Callithrix jacchus: one gene and its partners. The protein of the gene in region 2 purifies or fractionates together with the protein of the main gene of each other region. This does not show direct contact. Links are inferred from orthologs where the notes say so. Each region holds a gene or a part of one and is shown on either strand. Other genes may lie near its edges.

Region 1 (3,325 bases), on a different chromosome or scaffold from region 2:
GCCTCCTAAAGTGGTGGGATTATAGGCATGAGCCACCGTGCTCAGCCACAGCTCACTCTTGGGAGGTACTGGGTCCTGCTGTGGCTCTAGACCACAGAGCCTATGCTTTCTTTTTTGTTTTTCCCACAGGTACTATGCTATTTATGACTCTGGAGACCGGCAAGGGCTCCTAGATGCCTACCATGATGGGGCCTGTTGTTCCCTTAGCATTCCTTTCATTCCTCAAAACCCTGCCCGGTAAGTATCACATCCCAGAATCTGCCTGGTACCACAGGGTTTCCCAGCAGATACAGGGCAGCACTTGCTGCAGCAATGCTCTGACACCGTGTCCTTTCCTCTTATTCCCCCAGAAGCAACTTGGCCGAGTATTTCAAAGATAGCAGAAATGTGAAGAAGCTTAAAGACCCTAGTAAGTGTGTGATGTGAACAAAACAGGATGGGAAAAGGGCATGGGAAGGAATCTATCATAAAACTCAGGAGTATGTGGCAGCCCCACTGAGCTTTCTCTACCCACAGCCTTGCGGTTCCGGCTATTGAAGCACACGCGTCTCAATGTTGTCGCCTTCCTCAACGAATTGCCCAAAACGCAGCACGACGTCAATTCCTTCGTGGTAGACATAAGCGCCCAGACAGTAAGCTCCTGCTTGTGCCCTGACAGAAGCCTAGAATTGGGATGGGGGTGGCATTTAATAGGCATGGTTGGGGTGCGCTCAGAAGTCTACATTGTACCTGATGCTGCTTCTGTTTCAGAGCACACTGCTGTGTTTTTCTGTCAATGGGGTCTTCAAGGAAGGTAAGAATCTTTAAAGTCCTGAGTTTGTAGCATGGTCCCACCCCCAGCTGGAATGTACCTCAGCACTCTTAGCTTCCCAGCTACTTTCTCTCCCATTTCTTTTTCTTTTTCTTTTTTTTTTTGAGACGGAGTTTCGTTATTGTTACCCAGACTGGAGTGCAATGGCACGATCTCGGCTCACTGCAACCTCCACCTCCTGGGTTCAGGCAATTCTCCTGCCTCAGCCTCCCGAGTAGCTGGGACTACAGGCACGCACCACCATACCCAGCTAATTTTTGTATTTTTAGTAGAGACGGGGTTTCACCTCATTGACCAGGATGGTCTCGATCTCTTGACCTCGTGATCCACCCGCCTCAGCCTCCCAAAGTGCTGGGATTGTAGGCGTGAGCCACCACGCCGGCCCCATTTTCTTTTTGAACTCCTTCTCCCATTTTGCCTCCAAGCCATCTTGGCTTGGCCTCCCCTCCGCCTGTCCTGACAGGATATTGGAAAAGCCTGGGGATTAGGAAGACTTTGGAGTCAGGCAGTTCTTAGTTTCCATCCTGGTTTTGGTTGTGTGGGGCCGTGGACAAGTAACATTACCTCTAAGACTTAGGTTATTTATTTGTAAGATGGGTAATAGCCATCTCACAGTGGTGCTATAGAAGTAAAATGAAATAACTTACAAAGTGCTTGGCCTTGGGCCTGGCACACAGATGCTATCAGTGGGTTAGTAGTTATTAGTATTATTGTACTCTCTGCCCAACCCTTCACCCCACCTCTACTTCCCTTATACATTTAATCATCCCTGTCTGGCCCGCTAGTGTTCTTCGTATCAAATAAGACCATGATTCAAGAAGCTGTTTGTAAACCACTAGTGATCCTAAGGTGTCGTTGCTCTTGTTCTCATTGCAGTGGATGGAAAGTCTCGGGATTCTTTGCGAGCCTTCACCCGGACATTCATTGCTGTTCCTGCTACCAATTCAGGGTAAATATTCTGCTTTTCACATTGGATACCAGTCCTAATCCATGGCCAACAGTGTGGTAATTGGAGGGTAGAGTCAGTCTTCGGGGTGCTTTCAGAAAGGCAACAGGAAATTGGGGAAAGCTCACATAGTAGTTAAGAGCTAGGTAGGAGCGCGGCTCTGGAATTGTACTGTTTGGGTTTTCATCCTGGCTCCACCTCTAGCAAGTAGGCTGCTGCCTCATCTGAAAGTTTATATTAACAATATTCACTTCCGGGCCGGGCGCAGTGGCTCAAGCCTATAATCCCAGCACTTTGGGAGGCCGAGGCTGGTGGATCACGAGGTCAAGAGATCGAGACCATCCTGTTCAACCTGGTGAAACCCCATCTCTACTAAAGATACAAAAAATTAGCTGGGCATGGTGGCACGTGCCTGTAATCCCAGCTACTCAGGAGGCTGAGGCAGGAGAATTGCCTGAACCCAGGAGGCGGAGGTTGCGGTGAGCCGAGATCGCGCCATTGCACTCCAGCCTGGGTAACAAGAGCGAAACTCCATCTCAAAAAAAAACAATATTCACTTCCTAAATTTGTTGTGAAGATAAATAAAGGACTAAGAACTGTCCATGTGTTGGGAGAACTCTAGTGTGTTTGGTAGATAATCCTTCCAAACATGGATTCCATGGGAGGAGATAAATGATTAAAGGTAACAATAGCTCAGAGTGGGAGGGGAACCTTGTGAATACTGAAGGAATCTGAGAGTAGGAATGATGTTGGGGGATGACATTATATATCTGTCCAGCTTTTTAAGTGCTCTTTGTCCTCAAGGCTGTGTATTGTAAACGACGAGCTATTTGTGCGGAATGCCAGTTCTGAAGAGATCCAAAGAGCCTTCGCTATGCCCGCACCCACGCCTTCCTCCAGCCCAGTGCCCACCCTCTCTCCAGAGCAGCAGGAAATGTTGCAGGCATTCTCTACCCAGTCTGGCATGAACCTCGAGTGGTCCCAGAAGTGAGTGTTGGGCATATGTATGTAGGGTGGGGATGTACTGAACCAAAGTAGGAGTAGTCGTGACTAATGAGAGCTCCTGACAGGTGGGTTGTTTTTGTTTTTGTTTTTTTTTTAATTAGAGACAAGGTCTTGCTCTGTCACCCAGGCTGGAGTGTAGTGGTGATCATAACGCACTGTAACCTCTAACTCTTGGGCACAAGCTATCCTCTCACCTTAGCCTCCAGAGTAGCTGGAACTACAGGCATGTGCCAGCACACCCAGCTTTTTTATTTTATTTTATTTATTTTTGAGACGGAGTTTTGCTCTTGTTACCCAGGCTGGAGTGCAATGGCGCAATCTCGGCTCACCACAACCTCTGCCTCCTGGGTTCAAGTAATTCTCCTGCCTCAGCCTCCCAAGTAGCTGGGACTACAGGTGCGCGCCACCATGCCCTGTTAATTTTTGTATTTTTAGTAGAGACGGTGTTTCCCTTTGTTGACCAGGATGGTCTCGATCTCTTGACCTCGTGATCCACTGCCTTGGCCTCCCAAAGTGCTGGGATTATAGGCGTGAGCCGCCACGCCTGGCCTATTTTATTTTTT
Region 2 (3,648 bases):
GTTGTTCATGAATGAGAGCTTCTTATGTTGCTCAGGTTGGCCTTGAACTCATAGCCTCGCCTCCTCAAGTGCCAGGACAACTGGCCGGAGCCACCGCGGCTCCATTTGCTTTTTTGCATGTATTCTGTTTGATGATGAGTACGTTCAAGTGAAGAAAACTGAGGAGTTCTCTTTGAGGTAGAAATGAAGTGCTGTTGGAGAGCTAAAACGGAGCTTGATCTCTCTCCTCCAGGAACATACAGCAATCCCTCTAATGCCTTTCTTTTGGTGAGAATTTTACAGAAATGGAAAGAAATGATAATCCATCCTAGACAGTTATTATGCTTTGTGAATGTTTAATCTTAGACTCTGATATTTTTGGCTTTAAATCATGGCTTTGCCAGGTGTATATAAATTTCATATAGAGTACCAAGTTTACCAATAGCCTCATGGCTCAATTTCTTAATTTGGAAATGGGTGTTACGACAATACTTATTTCATAGGATTGTTGTGAATTAAATGAATACATGTCAGAACTGTTGTTACTAACACTGGTAATGCCTGTACTGTAGTACTTACTGCTATTCCCACTGCTATGCTACTGCTGCTATTCCTATCGCCATGTATATTCCCCTGGTGCTATGGAAGAAACTGAAAGTAGCTCATTGTAAGGATTTTTTTTTTAATTCAGATACCTATGTATCTACTCATTGGGCAGTAGAAAGCCATTTTCTTCTTTTAGATTGAAAGAATGCTCTTGGCCATTGTAGCTTATTTGACTTATTTGAGGATATAGATAGTAAAATGTTGAAATGTGAAATGTAATTTTATATTTAACATGCTTTGCTAATTCTAGTTTTTAGTTATATTTAGACTTTATAATAGTTGTATTTTAAAATTAACTTTGTTAGAATTGTACTTTGTGCCTCTTTTTTTTTGAAATAGAGTCTTGCTCTGTTGCCCAGGCTGTAGTGCAGTGGCACAATCTTGGCTCATGGCATCCTCCGCCGCCCAGGTTCAAGTGATTCCCCTGCCTCAGCCTCCTGAGTAGCTGCGACTATAGGCGCACACCACCACACCTGGCTAATTTTTAAATTTTATTTTAGTAGAGATAGGGTTTCACCATATTGGCCAGGATGAGCTTGATCTCCTGACCTCGTGATCTGCCCACTTTGGCCTCCCAAAGTGCTGGAATTATAGGCATGAGCCACTGTGCCCGGCCTGCCTCTTTTTGTAACGATCTCCAGACCAAATTCATTTTTTTGGTTTACTCTCAAGGCTTGAAGTTTTTAAACTTTTGATAAAGAGTAAGTAGCATTTTGTTAAAGGAAAGTGGTCTCTCATAAATAGTGTCTTCCTGAGAATTCCCTTTATGCTTGTTGAGATACGTGTTTATATCTGATGTTCATGAAACCTTTTAATTTTTTACAAAAGTTTTTGAGTACCTTTAATTTTGATGAACTCTTTTGTGGTTGGACATTAATTTCATGAAGACAGCTAAATATTTTGGGGAGATTTGTAGGATTTTGTGTACATACGTGTTTGAGTGTAATTAAGAGTCTTAAAGATTATAGATAGGTTAGGTAGAATAGTAATATATTACAAAAGATCTTACAGTTATATTTCCTTCTCTGACTTCTGGAAAGACTATACTGACAAAAAAAATTCGAGTTTAATTAGTTTCATAGAGTTTTATTAAGTTGTTGACTGTATGCAATTTCTTCGTATCCACTTATCAAATACTGGAATTATGACTGTGGAGAAAATGTTTGGATAGTTCTTTCTTCTTTTTTTTTTTGAGAGATAGTCTTGCTCTGTTGCCTAGGCTGGACTGCAGTGGCATCATTGTGGCTCACTGCAGCCTTGAGTGCTTGGGCTCAAGGAATTCTCTCACCTCAGCCTCTTGAGAAGGTGGGACCACAGGCATGCACCACTATGCCTGGCTAATTTTTAAAAATTATTTGTAGAGAGAAGGTTTTGCTATGTTGCCAGGTTGGTCTCGAACTCTTGGCAGAAGCAGTCTCCCATCTCACCTCTCAAAGTGCTGGGATTACAGACATGAGCCCCCCATGCCCAGCTGGATATTTCTTATATGAGTATTTTTGGCTTTTGGTAACCTCCTTTTACCACATATAAATGGGAATCTGGAATACATTTAGTTTTCTGATCTTCACCTTGTTCTAATACCATGTGGTATTAGAACAGTATGATGTTTGTGAATTACCTTGGGGCAGTTTGGAAGTATGTTTGGAAGTAATGAAGCATAGAAAGATCAGTATAAAAAGAAAAATAAGGTAACCTTGAAGTACTTTACTGGAGGTGAGCCATTAGTATTGTTTTGTACTATACCTTTATTATGGCACTTGTTTAATTTTGTATTTGCAATTTGCATGTCTGTTTCCATCAGTACTTCTAAAATATTTAGAAAAGGGACCGTATTTTACTTTTATTTCAGTTACAGCACAACCCGAGACGTACATTCATTGCATGTAGTATATGCTCAATAACTGATTTTTTGCTGAATATCCAAATTTAGTCTTTTAGTTGAATGGTTTAATTTTTGACTACCTATAGTTATATTGGAAGATGGGCTTTTTTTTTGTTTTTTTTTTTTGAGACAAATTCTCCCTCTGTCACCTCACCTGTCGCGTAGGCTGGAGTGTAGTGGTACAATCTCGGCTTACTGTAACTTACACCTCCCAAGTTCAAACAATTCTCCTGCCTCAGCCTCACAAGTAGTTGGGACTGCAGGCATGCACCACAATATCCGACTAATTTTTTTTTCTTTTTTGTATTTTTAGTAGAGAGAGGGTTTCACCATGTTGGTCAGGCTGATCTCGAACTCCTGACTTCAAATGATCCACCCACCTCAGCCTCCCAAAGTGCTGGGATTATAGGTGAGAGCCACCATGCCCAGCCAGAAGGTGTTCATCTTTAAATGATAGAGGCTTCTGTGATTTTGGAAAGTAAATAGGAATAATTTTTGTAAACAGGCTTTTGCTTATTTAGATTCATCAGGTAAAGAAGTACTATGGCTAATAGCACTCTTCATTAATTGGTAGATCTGCTTTGGGCTATTGTGAAATGACTGATTCTTGTTATTATCCTCTTGTGGAATGGCTTTCAAAGTAGAAAAGAAGTTAGGAACATAGAAAATCCATCAGCTAGAAAGTGAGACTAGACCGGGCGTGGTGGCTCACGCCTGTAATCCAAGCAGTTTGGAGGCCAAGGCGAGCAGATCACCTGAGGTCAGGAGTTCAAGACCAGCCTGACCAACATGGTGAAACCCAGTCTTTATTTAAAAAAAAAAAAAGAAAGAAAGAAAGCGAGACTAAGTTAAAATGAAAATGAAAGAAAGAAAGAAAGACTAAGTTAAAATGAAAATAATTGGCATTTCCTCTATCATAGATGATATCATCAAATTGAATCGAAAGGAAGGAAAGAAGCAGAATTTTCCAAGACTAAATAGAAGACTCCTTCAGCAAAGTGGTGCCCGGCAATTCAGGATGAGAGTACGATGGGGAATCCAACAGAATTCTGGTATGTTTTGAAAGTAAGCTTTAATGAAAAGCTGTTATTTCTGTGTTCATAGTGTAGTTTTTAGCATATGCTTAACACATGGAGGAAATGCGTCAATACTCTTGGTGTTTTATATTTCCTCTGTGCCTA
Region 3 (4,403 bases), on a different chromosome or scaffold from region 2:
TTTGTAAACACTGTGAGAACAGGGTTATTCACTGCTGTGTCCCCAGATGCTAGGACAGCACATGGCACAGGGTAGACAGTTGGTAAATACTTTTGAATAAATTAAATGATACTTGGGAAAGCAGCCCTTTTATGACACCATTCTTGAATCAGCTACTTCATTTTATTACTGAAGATAAGCTTGCTTCACCAAGGATTTGAACTAATGAGGTAACCCCTAGGTATTTAGTAACCAGATTCTTTGAGCACGGAGGCAGAATACAATAGAGAATTAGAGGTGTTTGCATCCTGGCTGTAACCTCACCAGCCGTACTCCTTGGGACATGTTGCTTTGCCTCTGTCAATGAGATGGGAATAACGGTACTTACTCCTTAGTATTAAATGTGCTAACAGGGAGAAGGCCAAACGTTTGTTATTTATGTTACACAGCAGGACATTATGTCTTATTTTTGTAGCTCCCCATGTCAAAGACGGGGAAGTCAAATGTTTCAAGCAGAAAAAAATCCAGGCTGAACAACGGGACTGTTGGGGCGGGGCCAAAAACTTCTGCTCAAATTAACAGAATTAATGGGCCAAGCGATGTGGCTCACGCCTGTAATCCCAGCACTTTGGGAGGCCGAGGTGGGTGGAACATCTGAGGTCATACATGGGTGAAACCCCATCTCTACTAAAAACACAAACATTTGCTGGGTGTGGAGGCGCCTGTAATTCCAGCTACTCGGGAGGCTGAGGCAGGAGAATCGCTCAAACCCGGCAGGCGGAGTTTGCAGTAAGCCGAGATCGCGCCACTGCACTCTAGCCTGGGCGAAAGAGCAAGACTCCGTCTCAAACCAAAAAACAAAATTAATGAAATGTAGTATAACCCTCAGGCCCTACTATTAACACTTAGGGGAGAATCCAGACCCAGTCTCCCGTTCGGATTCAGAACACCTTCCGGACTCACTGGCCCTAGGGATCAGCTACCTAGGACAGCATCGTTTTGGGAAAATGCCGCCCACCAGCCCCACCACAGGGAAAGAGTCGGACAACACCCACGAGTACGCCAGTTCCCTTAGACTTCCCTCAGCTAGGGCCTGCCGTTTCCTAGTGCGTGCACAGCCGCCCTCAGGTCACCTTCACTACAGGGCCAAGGACCCCGTGGGAACTCGCAGGCCTTGCCACTCTCGTTCCTCGCGCGTCCATGGAGGGGTGCCTAGAGAGAAGACCTGCGTGGCAAAAACCTAAACGAAGAGATGAGGGGCATGGAGAAGAGTAGAAAAAGATCAGAAAGATAACAGTGGGAGGAGATGTTAGTTTCCTTTATAACTTTTGTTACTGGCGGTAGCAGGGAAGTTAGAAATGGTTTTAAAACAAATTTCAGACAGGCATTTTCCAAAGGCAAGCCTGGAGCGCGCGGATCCATACAACTGCGGAAGGCCCTGTTTCCGGTCCTTTGCGCCTGCGCTCTTGCAGCCAAGAAGGCGGGAGGCCGCAGTAGAGAGAAGGCTGCAACCGGAAGTGAAGGCAGATTTCCCTCCTTCGTCGCTGTTGCTGCCGCCATACGCGCTCTCCCTGCTTAGGTAAGCTTCGGCCTTCGCTACAATCCGTTTTCATCTGCGCTTCTCCGTACCCATCCCGTCACATGGGTTCCTGATACCCTCTTCACAGGCGCTGGTCTGATCGCTGGGGCCTAGTTGGTTCGTTATTTCTGTAGCCTGCATCCCTTTCGAGAGCAAACTGTTCCTGGGGGGAGGAAGGGTAGCTAAGAGGGGGCCCAATCCAAGATGGTGTCCTCGGCGCCATTGTGTTCGCTTTGCTCCCTTCATCCAGTGGGTTCTTCTCATATTGGAGGCCTCATCATCAATGAGAGGCGGCGCTAGGCGTCCCTTGGTCTTGGTATTTGCGGAGGGCGGGGCTCTTCTCACCTTCCTTGTCTTTTTTTGGGCCCTTTCTCGGCCCACGATGGGGCTGGGAGGAGGAGCCGGTTGGATTTTTCTCACCTCGACTTGCCCAACCTAATCTGGAGTGCCTTCCAAGTGTTTACGATTGGTGTCATTGTATGTTTCTCAGAAAGGAGTCTCACCTTCGTAGCGCAACAGTGATGTGAGACCACTTGGTAAAGATTTTGTCGAAGCCTGGGTGGGGATTGCCTTTCTCTGTCAACTCTTAGCTTATTGTAGGGTGGAGACGTGAAATTTTTTGTTGTTGTTGCTGAGCCATTTGTCTTGCACTGCCCGCCCCATGCTAATTACACAAGGATATCTTAACGGAAGGGAGGGTACTGAGAAGTGGGAGGTGGACGGCGGCCATATGATGTTTTCCTTTCGAAAGGTGAGCGCTTTGCGCAGTGATGACCCTCATCTATCACCCTTGACTGATGGCTGCTGAGTTAGGCATCTGCACGTTGGGATTATAATAGGGAAAGCGCGGTCCTATGAGGATTTTTCGGACTCTGTCATCTCCATTTTCCACTTCTCCAAGTTATTAGTAGTATTTTATCCTTTATTATCTATTTTGTTTCATCCTTGTTACTTTCAGATCAAGAATTTATTTTTTTTTCTTTTTATTTATTTATTTTTAAAGATGGGGTTTCACCATGATGGCCAGGCTGGTCTTGAACTCCTGACCTCAGGTGATCCACCCACCTCGGCCTCCCAAAGGGCTAGGATTACAGGCGTGAGCCACTGCGCCCGGCCCAGATCAAGAATGTATAAGTTGGTCTTCCTGTTCCAACTTTTCTGGTTTCTGCTACTCGGATTGCTAATCTTGTTGGGATCCTGTGTCCTAAGCATTTTCCCTGGGACTGCTTTTTCTATGCTGTTTTATTTGCTTTTCGCTTGTATGTTTTGTATCTGTTTCTCTTTCCAGGTAAAAGTTTCCCAGTTTAGGGGAAGTGGGAACTGGGGATGGAAAAGAGGAGGTGAAGGCTCTGCTTATGACTAAATCTTGCTTTTTTTTTCTCCCCCCCCCTGCAGCTCTTCTTTTAGAAACTAGTATCTTTGCTTTCCTTTGCTGTTCATCAACCCCCTAATTTTCACCCCTTGTTTTCACCTATTTTCCAAGAACCCATCCAGAGCCCCCTTCCCTTTTTCCCCTGCCGGCCCAGTTATGGCAGAGAACGATGTAGACAATGAGCTCTTGGACTATGAAGATGATGAGGTGGAGACAGCAGCTGGGGGAGATGGGGCTGAGGCCCCTGCCAAGAAGGATGTCAAGGGCTCCTATGTCTCCATCCACAGCTCTGGCTTTCGTGACTTCCTGCTCAAGCCAGAGTTGCTCCGGGCCATTGTCGACTGTGGCTTTGAGCATCCATCAGAAGGTAAATTTTCTCTTGGGCATGTATGCTCATTAGGCTCTTTAAGGATGATAAAAAGATGTGTTCATTGTTGCTCAGGTGGTAAAGGTTTATACTTAAGGCTAGATCAGGACCAGTTGCAGTCGCTCATTCCTGTAATCCCAGCACTATGGGAGGCCAAGGTAGGAGAGGGTCAGTTGAGCTCAAGAGTGCAGGAGAAGCCTGGGAAACCTAGGGACTCCTGTCTCTATGAAACGTTCAAAAATTAGCCAGGTGTGGTGGCGTACACATGGAGAGGTATGGCAAGCCAGGGGAGGATTGCTTGGGCCCTGAAGATTGGGGCTGTAGTGAACCATTATTGTACTACAGTACGCCAGCCTGGGTGACAGCAAGGGAAAAAAAATCAGGAGATAAGTATCAAAAACAATTTTGGATATAGGAGGCTTATACAGGTTTATTGTTTCTTTTATGATAGCAACAAAGTGCCAGTGATTCAAGAGTAACTTATAGGTCTGCTCTTCATTCTTGTGACTGGCTTTTCTTCTCCAAGACGGAGTCTTGCTCTTTCGCCAGGCTGGAGTGCAGTGGCATGATCTCAGCTCACTGCACCCTCCATCTCCTGGGTTCAAGTGATTTTCCTTCCTCAGCCTCAAGAGTAGCTGGGACTATAGGCATGCACCACCTTGCCTGGCTGATTTTTTTTTTGTATTTTAGTAGAGATAGATTTCATCATGTTGGCCAGGATGGTCTCAATCTCTTGACTTCATGGTCAGCCCACCTCGGGCTCCCAAAGTGTTGGGATTAAGGCGTGAGCCACCATGGCCGGCCTTGTCTGCTTATTTTTAATTTTGTCACTTCTAATTTTAAATTTCCAGAGAGCTCCTGGTTGGACCTGTAGACCCCCTTTGTTGGGCCAGGCCACCTGTGGTCTCTGGAAGCCTCTGTGACTGGTTTAAAGATGACTGGCTTCTGGGTCAGGTACCAAGTCCTTCATTTCGTTCAGGGTTGCAGTTATGTGATCCAAAGTAGGGCAGTCTAAGTAGGAAAAATGACCTGTGGCAGGTGTTCAAATGTCATGAATTGTTAAAGATTAAGAAAAATAAAGAAAGAGTCAGGAGCATTGAAGGTGA

Evidence for each region.
Region 1: the proteins of FYTTD1 (region 2) and NXF1 purify together in Homo sapiens (affinity purification with western blotting; 3 studies listed by BioGRID and IntAct, with this or other methods). This does not show direct contact. The link is inferred for Callithrix jacchus from reciprocal best matches to the Homo sapiens genes FYTTD1 and NXF1.
Region 3: the proteins of FYTTD1 (region 2) and DDX39B purify together in Homo sapiens (affinity purification with mass spectrometry; 5 studies listed by BioGRID and IntAct, with this or other methods). This does not show direct contact. The link is inferred for Callithrix jacchus from reciprocal best matches to the Homo sapiens genes FYTTD1 and DDX39B.

What each region holds. Positions count from the first base shown.
Region 1 is NC_133511.1:120,075,149-120,078,473, reverse strand, and holds part of NXF1 (nuclear RNA export factor 1), read left to right. Parts: intron 1-129; coding exon 130-237; intron 238-350; coding exon 351-409; intron 410-516; coding exon 517-632; intron 633-750; coding exon 751-793; intron 794-1,687; coding exon 1,688-1,760; intron 1,761-2,561; coding exon 2,562-2,744; intron 2,745-3,325.
Region 2 is NC_133518.1:81,291,973-81,295,620, forward strand, and holds part of FYTTD1 (UAP56-interacting factor), read left to right. Parts: intron 1-3,387; coding exon 3,388-3,519; intron 3,520-3,648. UniProt on the Homo sapiens protein: Required for mRNA export from the nucleus to the cytoplasm. Acts as an adapter that uses the DDX39B/UAP56-NFX1 pathway to ensure efficient mRNA export and delivering to the nuclear pore.
Region 3 is NC_133505.1:39,026,284-39,030,686, reverse strand, and holds the start of DDX39B (spliceosome RNA helicase DDX39B), read left to right. Parts: upstream 1-1,504; 5' UTR 1,505-1,558; exon of another isoform or gene 1,559-1,675; intron 1,676-1,746; exon of another isoform or gene 1,747-2,094; intron 2,095-2,283; exon of another isoform or gene 2,284-2,361; intron 2,362-2,953; 5' UTR 2,954-3,086; coding exon 3,087-3,297; intron 3,298-4,403. UniProt on the Homo sapiens protein: Involved in nuclear export of spliced and unspliced mRNA. Component of the TREX complex which is thought to couple mRNA transcription, processing and nuclear export, and specifically associates with spliced mRNA and not with unspliced pre-mRNA.